Linked DNA regions of Drosophila melanogaster. The protein of the gene in region 1 interacts with the protein of each later gene in a pairwise test. Each region holds a gene or a part of one and is shown on either strand. Other genes may lie near its edges.

The links. Proteins that work in one complex are often made in the same cells at the same time.
Region 2: the proteins of dsx (region 1) and Mst84Dd interact in binary tests that used the Drosophila melanogaster proteins (3 or more experiments, as listed by UniProt).

The regions. Positions count from the first base shown.
Region 1 is NT_033777.3:7,963,094-7,971,133, reverse strand, and holds the start of dsx (doublesex), read left to right. Parts: upstream 1-3,725; 5' UTR 3,726-4,671; intron 4,672-8,040. UniProt on the Drosophila melanogaster protein: Controls somatic sexual differentiation. Binds directly and specifically to the FBE (fat body enhancer) of the yolk protein 1 and 2 genes (Yp1 and Yp2).
Region 2 is NT_033777.3:7,361,072-7,366,794, reverse strand, and holds Mst84Dd (Male-specific RNA 84Dd), read left to right. Parts: upstream 1-3,021; 5' UTR 3,022-3,104; intron 3,105-3,156; 5' UTR 3,157-3,178; coding exon 3,179-3,397; 3' UTR 3,398-3,488; downstream 3,489-5,723. Other genes in the region: Mst84Da (Male-specific RNA 84Da), read right to left, coding at 616-768, 824-862; Mst84Db (Male-specific RNA 84Db), read left to right, coding at 1,290-1,514; Mst84Dc (Male-specific RNA 84Dc), read left to right, coding at 2,266-2,433; CG17944 (uncharacterized protein), read left to right, coding at 4,764-5,366.

The DNA of each region.
Region 1 (8,040 bases):
GCAAGAGCGTCTAAATGAGTTGCATCTAATTGAGTGACAAACACGCCACGAACAACACAACACCACCGACACACCAGACCCAAGCCCAGACCCAGACCGACAGCAACTGGCCACCTCTCACAAACTGTGCCAATTTGTTTTAAAATGCATCATCCCGGCGCTCAATCAGCTCTGCTCGGTCCAGTCCGGAACTTATCCCACCCCAGGATCCCCCAATGTCCAGTGCCTGCTCTCGACTGTTTTTCAATTTGCATGCAAGCGTAAATTACTCTCGGCTCGAGACCCCTTAACCCCTTCCTGGAACATCGGACCCTCTCCCCGCACGGATTCCGCCCGCTGGTCGGTTAAAAGGTTTGTCCTTTGGTTGTGTTCTATATGCAGATTGCCATCGCTGTCGAGGACTGCTCCGTTCTTGCTCCTCCTTTTGGTGTGCCTGACGGAATCTTGTGCCTGACTGCTTTAAATAACTCTGCGTATCTTGGTTATGAACATAAAACACGTTTTTTGGCACCCCATTTGTCATTAAGCTACCAATTTGCTCGGCTTCAAAAACATCTCAAATTTCCCACCAATCGAACGAGAGGGGGGAGCTGAAAATTAGCCAGGTTAAAAGCCCAAAGAAGTGAGATCAAAAAGCAAGCGATGAGGACGAGGATGGCGAGCCTTTCCCGACGCCGGCCCAAAACTGATAAACACACAAATCTTTAAGACCGCAATTTAAAATTTTGAAATGCATTTTAATTGAGATGTTTCGTAAGTTAAAACAATTTACTTACTGCTGTGTATTTAAACAAAATAATTAACTATAACAAGGATAGCTTGAAAACATTATTTGAAAATCCGATTAGGGCTGCACAAGTGCTCTTTTCTGTGGAATTTAACCATCCACTTGTTTAGTTAAGTGTGGTGTAATCAAAATTGTTTTACATGAACTCCGAAAATTTCCCCATTAATCTTGAATAGCAACTTTAACAATTTCACGGAAGCAGTTTTGACTTCGTGTACATATTCACCCGATCCGTTCGGTGGAAATGCAAACTGACAGCGGTTGATATACATTTGCGATCTGGGCGCCAGACTTGTGTACGATTCGCATGCCTAAGCAACTCGACTGGCTACCCAGTTAAACAGGAGAAAAAATTGGCGATATAGTGAGGATTTTTATGGTTGTACGCAAAAATTGTGATATCTCTGGTAAATATGATTTATAAACTAAAATGAAATATTCCTTATTTTTCATTTGAATACAAATTGCTATTACTCTTTTTCAAAAGCATGATTCATTAAAAAATATGGTAATTCAAGGAAAGTTTGGTTATAAAATTCTAAAAATATTCTATGGTAATAACTTCTTCCGCCACTTTCGACCTAAAGTAATACATTCAAAGTAGATGCAATTTTTCTCAGTGTACTTATCTACCCACTACCGCAAACTAAGCCGAAAGACCTCCTTCCGAGTCGCTAACAATGTACAACAACTTGTAGAATGGCCATAACAATTATAAAACACGAACACGAGTCGCTCGCGGGGAATTGCGATTGCAATGGTAGGCAGCGGGGTGAGGTGTCTGCGGAGGCAGACTGCGGTTGGCAACTTGGATTACCTTTATCTGGCTGCCGGGTCATCCGGAGAATTCTGCGCCCAGCACTTGGCAGCATTCCCCGATGTCGTCGCTGTGTCGTGTATCTTTGGTGCGGCTTTCGAGGTGACAACTGCGACAGCTAAACGTCAATTTGTATAAATGTTTGCAATTGCCACCGATGCGTCGGTTGTGGTGAGTGTGGAGTTGTTAAAAATAAAACACACTGAACGCTGATGATCGATGCGGGGGTCGCAAAGGTCCTACAAGGAAAAAAGAGTATCTGTCAGATGCAGAGAGTGGAACTGGGAGCAAGAGAGCAGATCATAAATAAATATTTCCTTAGCAATTTGCATTTTTTCTGACCGCCCGAGTGTTTGTTGTTTGCCGTTCTGCCCCAAGTTTGTTGGCGTTTTTTGAGAGCGCACTCGGCCAAACGAGTTTCGATTCGGATGCGTATCCGCGAGATACTCTTCCCGCGCCGCTCTTTGCTAATTGATTTATGAGATTGCAAATGCAGATGCCCCCAGCCAAGCTCTTTCGACACTCCGCCATAAAAAGGGCTAAAATTTGTGCGATCCAAGGTACAAGAAATGGTGCAAGAAATGCGCCTTTAAAGCTATGTGAATTTTATCGTTCTACAATCGGCACGGGATCAATTGGTGAAGATGTAAATCGGATTTGGATGAAAAATGTATCCCCTTGCCTATGCAATATATACAGTTTCATGCAAATCAATGACAAAGCCTTCCGCTCTCACTTTCGTAAACATTTTTTAAATAATATGTTGTAGTACCCTAGTATGCAATTATATTAAGTTTTCACATTACCTCGATGATATTGATAGTTAATATAATAAGTAAGTAATTTTCTTTAAATTCAATTTTTGTATGAGCAAGTCAAAATAATTACATAAATTCATTAAATTTAAGTCACTTTATCACTTCATTTATTTAAATATTAAATTAATAACTTTTGTCTCTGAAACACTAAACGAGAATCAAAAACGGTTAATTAATGAGTATTATCTTAATGTTTTCTGATCGCTGAGCCATTCATTCCCCTACAATTTGGTCACCAATGGGAAACTACTGAAGTACCGAAGGCCCTTTCGAAATCGATTCACTGCCCAAAAATCGAACTCTCGACCATTTTTGGTTACCTTTTTGGGAGTTGCGTGCATCGCCTGAGGGAAGTATCTTTTAATGGAGCCGAGCTTCGGCAAAATTATCTCCGCCGTACTGTATAAACGATCCTGACTAATATAACGGCTGACGATGAAAGGGGACCTTTCAATGTGATAAATGCGAGTGCGACACACGCAAATCGCTGCGTCTAAAGGTGGCATAAATACGCGGCGCAGGCCGAAACCCAGCTGAGTGGTTCGACCTATATCGTCGGCTAGACGCCCAAACCCGATTCGATGCTCCCCATATCTGGCGCTTCTTCTTCTCGCGCCACGCGGAAAGAGAACGGAAGAGAGAGAGAGAGCGACCAGAGTGCAAATTTACGATCGGCACATGCAGGCGGGAGACGTCAATGTACGGCAACAAAGTTGCTCCACTCGAGCTTCTCGCAGAGATTCGCAAAAAAACACGCGAACTTCAAGAGAGAATCGCTCAGAGAGGAAGAGCACGTCTTCGATGTTTTATGCTCCCCATTAATGGGGCAAATGCACTTTACACTCTCGCAGACCCGTTTCTCTCCGTAACTCTCTGTTGCCCAAGATGCTTTCGTTTGAGTTCTTCACATACCAACGTTGCTTCGAGCTTATGAGTTTGCTAAAAATCGTGGGAACCGATGAAAGAAATGCCCTTCTATCGTATAAATGTTTCTGTTTAAAAACTATTTACTTAGTATTTAAAATAATTGACCGTTTTTCGTATTTCACATATTAAATAGCAACACAGAAGTAATGAATATTTTAAAACATTTTCCGTTCAAATACATAATTTTTTAAAATACATTTTATTTGGCTGATATTAGCGGAAATTAGCCCTTAAAAGTATGCAACGCAGGTAAGGAGAATTAAGTATCCGCAGTGCGGAACCTATATTTTTCGCGGCGAATTTAGCTCATATTACATACGATTTAATAGTTTGCAATACTTTTTTATAGTTCATAGTTCATATTGTAAGAATTGTGTTTAAATTATGTTATTTTTAGCATGGTTTACTTATGGAAAAGAGCATAGTTAAGGGTTTACAATGAAAACGGTCAAATAAGGGTATCCATATCTGGTACCAAACCAATTTGCTTTCTCCCAGTTGATGTGCAGTGCATCCAGCAGTCGAGCAGGTTGGATGCTCGCACTCGTTTCTTTTTTCGCGGTGCAGCAACCAGAGTGCAAATACAAATAGCAAGAGCGTTGCGTCGCCAGTCGGTGGGCCCGTCTCTGTGCCAGAAACACATGCTCAGTTTTAGGTCCGCCCGTCCGCCTGAATGTCCGTGTATCTGTCCGCTGTCTTTTGGTCTGCTAGTCGGACTGGTACTGGTCCGAGTGTTAGTATCGTGCACGGGGAGCTTTAGCTTTGTGGCCGCAACCAGTTTGCTGGCATCGATCGTCCTTTGCAGGTCGTGCATGTCGCGTTGGCGTCTCGCGCCGTCCGCGTTCCGTGCTCGAAATCACAATCTCAAGCTGAAGTGAAAAGAACTGGAGCGGATTCGGTACAAAATTCTGTGCGATAGTTTTTAGTTGCTGTGCGAGGTCCGAAAATATCTCTAAAATGCGTTGACCTACAGGGAACCAGATCGAGCCGCGAGTGCCATGCTAAACAAAGTCGTTTGCGGCTACAGCTTGTACGGTTTAAGATAACAAATAAAAGAAATAAATTTTTACCGGCTTCACACTCTCACTCTCGGTCCACGAAGCACTCCTGACCGTCTCGTACCCAGCCGATCGGACTCCCCGTATCTCATCGAGTTCGCCGAGTGCTAGTGCTATATTCTCTCACTTTGCTTGCATAACCAAGAGCAAAGCACACCTCGCGGAGGCAGATCGCAGATGCAGATACAGATACATATACTGCTAGTGGTCTAGTAGTGGACCTGGAGATACTCTAGCGAGTGCATGCAATTGGCATTGTACCTGGTAAGTGAACGATGAGTTACGAGCGCTCTGCGGCCAAAATGTGCCACCACTCCGCTCCGTTTTGCCACCTTTTTGCCCGGCATTTGGGGGCGTTGCAAACTGCCTTGTAATTGCCTGACATAAATGCTCGTGTGTACAAGGCTTAATGGCGATAGCAGCAGGTACGCTCAGCGATTGCCATCTACAACTGGCGGTATGACTGCTGAATGGGGGGGAGCCAGGGGTTCAGGCTATTGTCTGACTTCCAAATTAAACAGGAAACGAGCAACAGGTCGCGTTTTACAGCCACACTATGAGACTCCCGCATTAGTTTCTAAGATTGGGATAGCGTAGGCCATTGCCATTGTCGTTTGCGATCGGCTATCCTAGATGACTGCATACATATAAGGCAAATTGGACCAAGGTCTAAGTGGTTATGAGGAAAATGCAAATGACAAATACGGAAACCAACTGGCTTAAAACGATAAACACGTGCTGAATATTTTTATTCAAATTAAAGTTGAAGCGAAGGCGTTTCTTGTTAATTTTAAAGCTTACCATCGATTATTCACGAGTGCTGCAATTATAAAAAATATATGTAAATTAGAACTTAAATTTTTGCCAATGCTCATTGTGTATAGCGCGAAAGGACAGTTTACCTTTAATATTTTGTGTTATCTTGGGGATAATTATTCATTTCTTTTGGCTATTATTCTTGTCATTTGTAGTCGAAATAACATAGTTAGCCTTGCTAAGTTAAAACTCATATTTTAGTGGGCGTAAGAGATCATTAGTAGAAACTGCAGCTTGCTTTCACTCACGAAATCTCGACTTTCATGAAGACGGATGACGCAAATGGCAAGATCGAGTACACCTGTCTGTAGTCTTAAAAAAAAAGGTATAAGAACCTAGCATGCCGTTTGACTCCTCAGCAAACATGCAGACTTTTTACTCATAGATTTATATTAAGTAAGTTATTAAACCATATTAGCAAGACGAATATTTTAGTATAATATAAATCTGAGCTTGGTACATTTTCCCAAGAATATATACAAATATAAAATACCTGTAAATGCATTTTTCTTAGTGCACAGTTATAATGATCTGTACTCAACTTTTTAAGCTGCACCCCACTTGCAATTATCATATAATCGACTTAAGGTGCTTTTGCCATTTATAACGCCGAGCTGTCCTTGGCCCATTAATAACCTGAAGTGGGTTCTTATCGTGATCTCTTCCGCTTTAGACAAATTAATTGAGCATACATGCGCAAGCTGCACATTTTTTATGCTCGCCCGTAATCAATTTAATCCGCTTTTCCTTTGGCAACTTTGACCACTGTTTCCCTGCTTATATTTGTCATTATTTCCACCAAACACAAATATTGAAAACTGATAGCCAGCAGGGTCTTTCTCTTAAAGTGGCTCTTCGGAGGAATTATTTCTCTGCGGGTCTCTCAGCTCATACAAATTAGAGGCGACATGCAAGATAAGCAATCTTGTGCAGTTTTTAAACACACAGGCAAAATAACAACATTTTGCCGTGGCCAGCGGGAGGCGGTGGAAGAAGGGGGCGGGTATCTGGTGCTAGCACGAATGTGAGACCCGTTATCAGCACATCGTTCATGCTCAATTTACCCTCCATTTAAATACAGGGTATTAACTCTTTAGACTCCGAAATTAAGTCATTACAGCAAACGAAAATTGAGACAGACAAACGCTCACACTACATGTCACCTAGCTAATAGATTAAAATTCTCATCGATACTGGCTTTCGTCTATGTCACATATATTTCTCCCTATCTTTCGTTCATTAGGTTCTAATCAATCGTCAAACATTTTGAGTGTGAATCTGTGTGCATAGGCAAGTTCAATGAGTCACCATAATGTCAAACTAAGTGCAAATTAGATTAAACACGAATCAAACACGCCAGCAGGTGTGGAGAAAGTGGACAAGAAGTGTAGAAGAATCTTATATTCCCTATCTATATAATATAGAAATATTAACCACATTCTTCCCATGTATACTTTTTACTTATATTACTTATATTATTTGGTTTTTTTATTATTGATATGTAATTGATTGATGTAAAGCTTTTTTTATTTTTGTGCTTTAGAGGGCCATTTATCGATTTACGAGTATCAACATATTTATAGGCTTAACTTATTTAAGCAGGTAACAATATTTTGGTTCTTTAAGTTTGAGTAAACCCATTAAATTAAAAAAAATGTTTTTTAGAATTCCTCTTTTCCATTAATTGTTATTATATTTTAATATCTTTCTAAAATTGTTATATATCATATGTATATATGTATATAATATATTTACGCACATACATAAGTTAAAAGAGTAATAGAAATGCCACGAATTGCACTTTTATTTCCAACCTAGTTAGATAAGAAGTATATACATATACTATATTTCAATGCCATACCTCTAAAACCCATTTCCAATAGCCCACTTGAAACCATTTCCTCGTATGTAGTGGTTATCGACTGACTGACTGTATATAAATGATTGGAGCTCCTTTGTTAGGTAGTTGCACAAGCCTCTAGAAGACCATTATACCGGAGTACCGTCCACAAATATCCACATCACTCACACGCCCTTTAGAACGAAAAACTAAGCAAAACAAATGCAATAAAATTCGCAGCGCAAAGCGGGCAAGCAGAAATGCAAAAAAGCAATTAAGAGGCGGAAGGCGAAACTAAGACTACGTCGAGCGCACTGCAACTCGAACACAAACAAGTTGCAAGGCGACTGCAACCGGCATCACAACACACTCCAACATTCACAAGTGCAGGGAAAGCAGCGACACCAACGAATCGACAACAACAACGCCAGCCAATGTGTGTGAGGCTGCCTATGTACTAGTCCGTCCGTTTGTCTGCGCGAGTGTGTGTGTGTTTGCTGCATGTGCCAGTATGGTGTATGGTGTATTGGTGTGCAGCCCCCACATTTCTCCAAATGCACGCAACGTCGACGCTGCACAGTGGAGCCAAATCATAGGGCTTTATTCACAAATATTGAAGCCTCCTACATATAAAAAGATATTTTCTGAACTTTTACTTATGTTTTCATGTGTTTCACAGTTACAGTCTTGGGAGTTCAGGAGAAAAACTCTTTTCGATCCACGTTAAACTTAAAAGACGACGATTTTTGAAAACTGGTAACATAGAATAAATCCTAAATTCAAGTAATGAATGGTTCCTTTGGTAATTTGAAGAGACCATAATACGATTTGTTACTTCCTTGGTCCCTTGTTAAAGCTATTTTAGACCAATGAATTAAATAAATCCAACTTCAAGAAATCCAACAAATTCAAGAAATAAATAGTTTCTTTTAAAATATGAAGAAAACGTAATACTAAAAAAATAAATAAAATAAATA
Region 2 (5,723 bases), 600 kb from region 1:
TTCTATGAGCACGGTGTGTGTCTCAGTCTGTCAGCCAAGCGGGAACTTGATAAGGACAAAAGGTTCGATGCCTTTCTGGCGTTTACCCATAAGGACGAGGCTCTGCTGGAGGAGTTCGTGGATAGGCTGGAACGTGGTAGGCCCAGGTTCCAACTCTGCTTCTACCTGCGAGACTGGCTGGCGGGCGAATCTATTCCCGATTGCATTGGTCAATCTATAAAGGACTCGCGGCGCATTATTGTCCTCATGACAGAGAACTTTATGAATTCCACTTGGGGTCGCCTCGAGTTCCGACTGGCCCTCCACGCCACCTCACGCGATCGGTGCAAGCGTCTGATAGTGGTGCTCTATCCAAACGTGAAGAACTTCGACAGTCTGGATAGCGAGCTAAGGACCTACATGGCATTTAACACCTATCTGGAGAGAAGCCATCCGAACTTTTGGAACAAGCTGATTTACTCGATGCCGCTACTACCAAGCTACGTTGACTAGGACATTACATTATTAATTTCAATAAGAAACAAAAATATATAATTTGTTGTCTCCCACACAGTTTATTTTTTGAGATTTACATAGTTCCCGGAAGTATTCCGACAGGTTTCCGGGTCAACTGGTTTAGCAGCAAGGACCGCAACCGCAAAAACTGCTGGTGCCGCCGCAGCAAGGTCCACATCCTCCGCAAGGACCACAGCAGGGGCCACACCCACCACAGCAGGGGCCACATCCACCACAGGGTCCGCATCCGCCGCAGGGGCCACAGCAGGGGCCCTGATAAATCATATTAAAAGTATTCACTCGACTTACGAGACCGATAAATACATACCCCAACCAAAACGTAATTCGGGTTGACGTACATGTACATGATTTTGTTTCTTAAAAGATATTTCCCAACCGGAATCGAAAGGAACCGAAAATTTAGGTGTTAACTATTGAAGGTGGAACGGAGAACTGACTGAATGTGATCCAAATTAGCCGAAGCTTCATTTGACAGCAGTCATGAGAATTTCAAGGCTAATATGATCCGACAAATTATATTCATTATTATTATTATATTCTGGTATCCCAAAACCCATAATCTAGTTAGCTATGGATATTTTCGACAGTTGTCAAATTCATATACCAACTTGTGAGTCAGGTTTCCATCATTCTTATTTTGGTTCTCGGCCTGTAATCATCGAAATATTTTTTCGTCCTAAGTTATTTCTTTGTTAGGTTCAAAGTGAGTATTTCTCAAAGTGTAAGCATGCGAAGTTTTAACAAAATTTTTCTTAGAACTTTACGGAACCATCATGTGTTGCGGACCCCTTGGATTCTGCGGACCCTGTAGCCCGTGCGGCGGTCCTTGCGGACCTTGCGGACCCTGTGGTCCTTGCGGTTCCTGCTGTAGTCCTTGTGGATCTTGCTGTGCGCCTTGCGGCCCTTGCGGTCCTTGCGGTCCTTGCTGCGGGGGCTGTGGTCCATGCGGGCCTTGTGGACCTTGCTGTGGACCTTGTAGGCCATATTGCGGGTGCTGAACAACAACCACAACATGTAAAATATCTTTTTCCTGTGAACCACAAAGTGGAACTTAGGACTGAATGCGGATAAACTCTTCTTAGCTCGCGGGCCTAGTCAATAAAATAAGAATTTCAAAATACCTTTTCCGATGGTTTTTCTCTTCTAAATGGTGCAACCTTTGTCTTAGCTATGGATACCAAATGCGTGACAATAATAATTTATGTAATATAATTGCGAAAATTAAAATTGTCAATTCTTGGTGGATTGCGATCGTTAGAGGGGGCGGAGGAACATCCTACGTTCATATCGACTAGGCTTGTGATCCAGCTCAAGAATAAATAACCTTTTCTTCTATTCACTATAGCATAGCTATTACTCTACGAGTGGCGGGTATAAAACCTGCAACCGTGAATTTAAACCTCATTCAATAATAGTATTTGTCTGCAAACGGACAAATGTCCGATAACAATAATTCTATAACAATAATAACTATTTTTAACCATCAACCGCTGTACATAAACATAATTCGAATTCATAGTAGGCTATGGAAATCGTTCTTGACCTGTCAGACCCACCTAACCTTGTAAGTTCGGAAAATATATCATTCTCATCTCGACCCTTGTGCTGCTCGCATCAAAATTTTGTTGTTTTGTCCCAAATACTTGTTTTTTTTTTTTGGCTTCTAAAGACCGTTGGTAAAAATGTTTATTGTAAAGTTAAAATAGTATACATATTTATTTCGTTTATTTTAGACTTCTCGAATTAATCATGTGCTGTGGACCTTGTGGATCGTGCTGCGGATATTACTGCTGTGGTCCCTGCTGTGGACCTTGTGGACCCCGATGTGGGCCGTGCGGATCCTGCTGTGGACCCTGTGGACCCTGTGGACCTTGTTGCGGACCATTTGGCAGTTGTTGCGGTGGCTGTTGGTGCTAAATGCTCGCAATTGGCAGCCGAATCGATTTGTGAAACCATACCACAATCCCACCATGGTTAAACTAACACCTGAAAGTTAAAAGCCACAAATATATATATATGTATCTTAATGCAGATCCATGTTATCATTGGGATAGTTCACCATTGCTCTTACTCGGCGTTACTCGTTGACATAATAGGAATGCGTTTCGTAATATGTATGTGGGTGTAGGTTTCTTGATCAGGAACACTAGCCGGATACTAAGCGAGCAGATTGTATTGCGCTGCGAGCACAAGTTGCTATATGGAAATGGTTGAGACGTTCTTGGTAATACCATTTTATTTTACACGAATGACGTCTCAAGGTGATTGATTCTGCCTTCCGACGAGCTTCACTAGGACGTTCTTTGTTGTTCCCATCTGGATCAGTTGTACTGCTTGCTACGGCAGGACATTTTCTTAAGCACGTTATTGTAAAATTCACTAAAGAACAAAATTAAATTCCTTTTAGGGCATTGATATAAAATTTTTATTAATTTTGCATTTGTTTATTTTAAATCTAGAAGGCTTTGAATCTATATTCTACTTTCCTGTGCAAGTTCTATGTAAGCAAACATCAGTTTTCATCTTTCCCTTAACCCAAGAACATCAAAATTTGAGCTCTTTTCCAAGCTTTTTAGGTTCAGCACTTTGTACGTAGTTTTTTATTTAAGAAAATTGTTGGTATAATAGCTTTTCTTTTAGTTCTCAGAAATTAAAAAAAAACATGGGCTGTGCACCGGGCGGACCTTGCTGCGGACCCTGTGGACCGTGTTGCGGACCCTGTTGTGGACCCTGTTGTGGACCCTGTTGTGGACCCTGTTGTGGACCTTGCGGGCCCTGCTGTGGCCCCTGTGGACCTCGTTGTGGCCCTTGCGGACCCTGTGGACCGTGCTGTGGCACTATGGAAAAACGAAATGGCCTTCAGCGGTGCTGTCCTTTTTAGCTGTGATTTCCCGAATAAGCAACCAAACTGTGTCCAAAAAAAGATTTCATTAGTCTATTGTGACAAATAAAGGGGAACTATGAAAACTATCAAATTAATGGATCTTAGCAGGGAGCCAATGTAATCATTGCAATTTCATTCATTCACACTCCGTACAAGAACTATAAAGATTACTGCTTTTCCTCTGCTACCTTTGCTTCACAAGCCGATGACGAATGACAAGCCAATCCAAAAAGGCAGTAGCTGAAGAGAGAAGCAATCTCCATAGGACAATCACCATAGGACAATAGACCAGGCTAACACTGAAGCCTGCGGCAATACATTCACACACGTAATAGTTGCATTGGGCTTAAAAGGAGCAGTTGGTTTATGCCAACATGCTCAGGTAATTGGGACGATGCAGTTGGAAAATAAAAAGTAATCCTGCCCTTGCAGCAATTAAATTAGCCAAATAGGGGATGTTAATTAGTGTCAAGTACCTTGAAGTAAATGGTGCCAAAAGAGGCGTGGCCGAGGCCAATCAAAATGATTTCCAAGCAATGTTACTCATACGCCCCATGTAGCTGGTCCCAGTCAATTATTAATGGCTGCTCGGCGCGAGTGCAGACTGCTGACATCTCAATTCAGGCGAATTGTTTATAGTATGCAAGCAATAGGATGCCAGAGGAATATCTGGGGAACTGATTTTCATCATTCATTTCGCCAGTCGACTTTTCCACTTTCCACGCTGAATAATGAAGGCAGCCATTTTAAGTGTGCGCCTGCGAGGCACTGGCTCTCCCGATGACGCAGTTAAGGGAATTCTCGGATATGTAAGCTTCTAGCATTTAGGCCTCATACAAATGTATAGCGCATCCTGTTATATGAGTAGCAGACGAGCAGGATAATCAAGTTCCGGAAGGGGTCGAATTAGAGCTGCCTGCCAGAATCGCAGTCGAAACGCTTAATCAGTGCTATATGCAAGTGTAATCCTAGAACTCGCATATGCCGCAGCCGACTATTGCTGTACTCAGGGAATTCGGGGTCAATCCCTGCAGAAATGTTCGTACCAATTCAGAATATATGTAGAAGTTAAAAATCTGCGGTTTTGATACTTTAATACTTTCTCAATATACTAGAGCACTATATAAGTCCTAACTCCTCATACAGATATATATATTTTGGATCATGTGAAAAGTTTGTAAAGTTTAAATATAAAGTTGAGAAATATTTTGTAAATGCCTTGAAATAACACTTTGAAATATATTTTCTAATCTCAGTTAGCCAGTTTAGTGGACAGTTGAATTGTCCCACCCAAAATTTTTTGTTTCCATCAGCTGTGTAAGGCCCGGTCATCGGACTTCGATCACCAGAAATTTCCGCGGCTATGAGCGAAGAAATCAGAACAAATCCTCCGAGAATGTGGAGCAGGTCTAGTCCGTCCCGCGTCGTAGAAGCCGCGATGATTGGGGATGGTCCGCATGTGTTACTACCACGTCAAAACAACCCAAATCAGCCAATTTCGACGGCAGCAAATCAACGTCCCCGAACATCAACGTCCCGACGATTGAAGTTTCTGAGAAAAATGGCGTTCAGCAACAAAATAAGGAGCTTTGGAGGACCTGCATCCAGGTTTGGTTCCCTTTCGCACTCGGATTTCGGAATGAGACGAGAACTGCGAGGCGATTTCCATTGGCCGATGATAGAGAGCTGGCTTGAGTTTCCCACCTATAATAATGAGGTAGACGAGGATAGTGGTGAGCTCCACGAAAGTAGATTGTTCACAGATCGACGCCACTGGGGACGGGCTCAACTGTACTTCCAGCAGTATCTAGGGATCCAGCACCGCCATCACCACGATCCGAGATCATTCTCCCTGAAACTCGGTCTAAGCCCCGCACACATAAAGTCCATTTACGACGCGCTGTATGGCATGGGTCTCAAAGAGACCTTGAGGCTGGCCTTCAACGAGTTGCTACACTTGCACTAGCTTTGGGGACTTTTTTGTTCCAACTATCGGTAATAAAATTTAAGGCTAACTTTTTATTCTTAATGTGGCAACTTGCTCCTGAATTGTTCCCACTGGAAAACCCTTTAAAAAATAGCACTCAGCCGCCGGCAAGTTTTTTAGCCAAGATATTTGGCCAAGAAAATCGCGATGTTGTGCATTTATGGAAATCGTATGCCGCTGTGTGTTCGCCAGTACAATGCGAGTGTTTGCAGGGCTTGAGGTAACTTTGCGACAAAAACTAAACGAAACGAGTGGAATTTTAAATACCCTTATTTACATCCCATATGACTTAGCACTTTCTTTCACAATATGCCCTTGTTTTGAATTTCTCTGGGG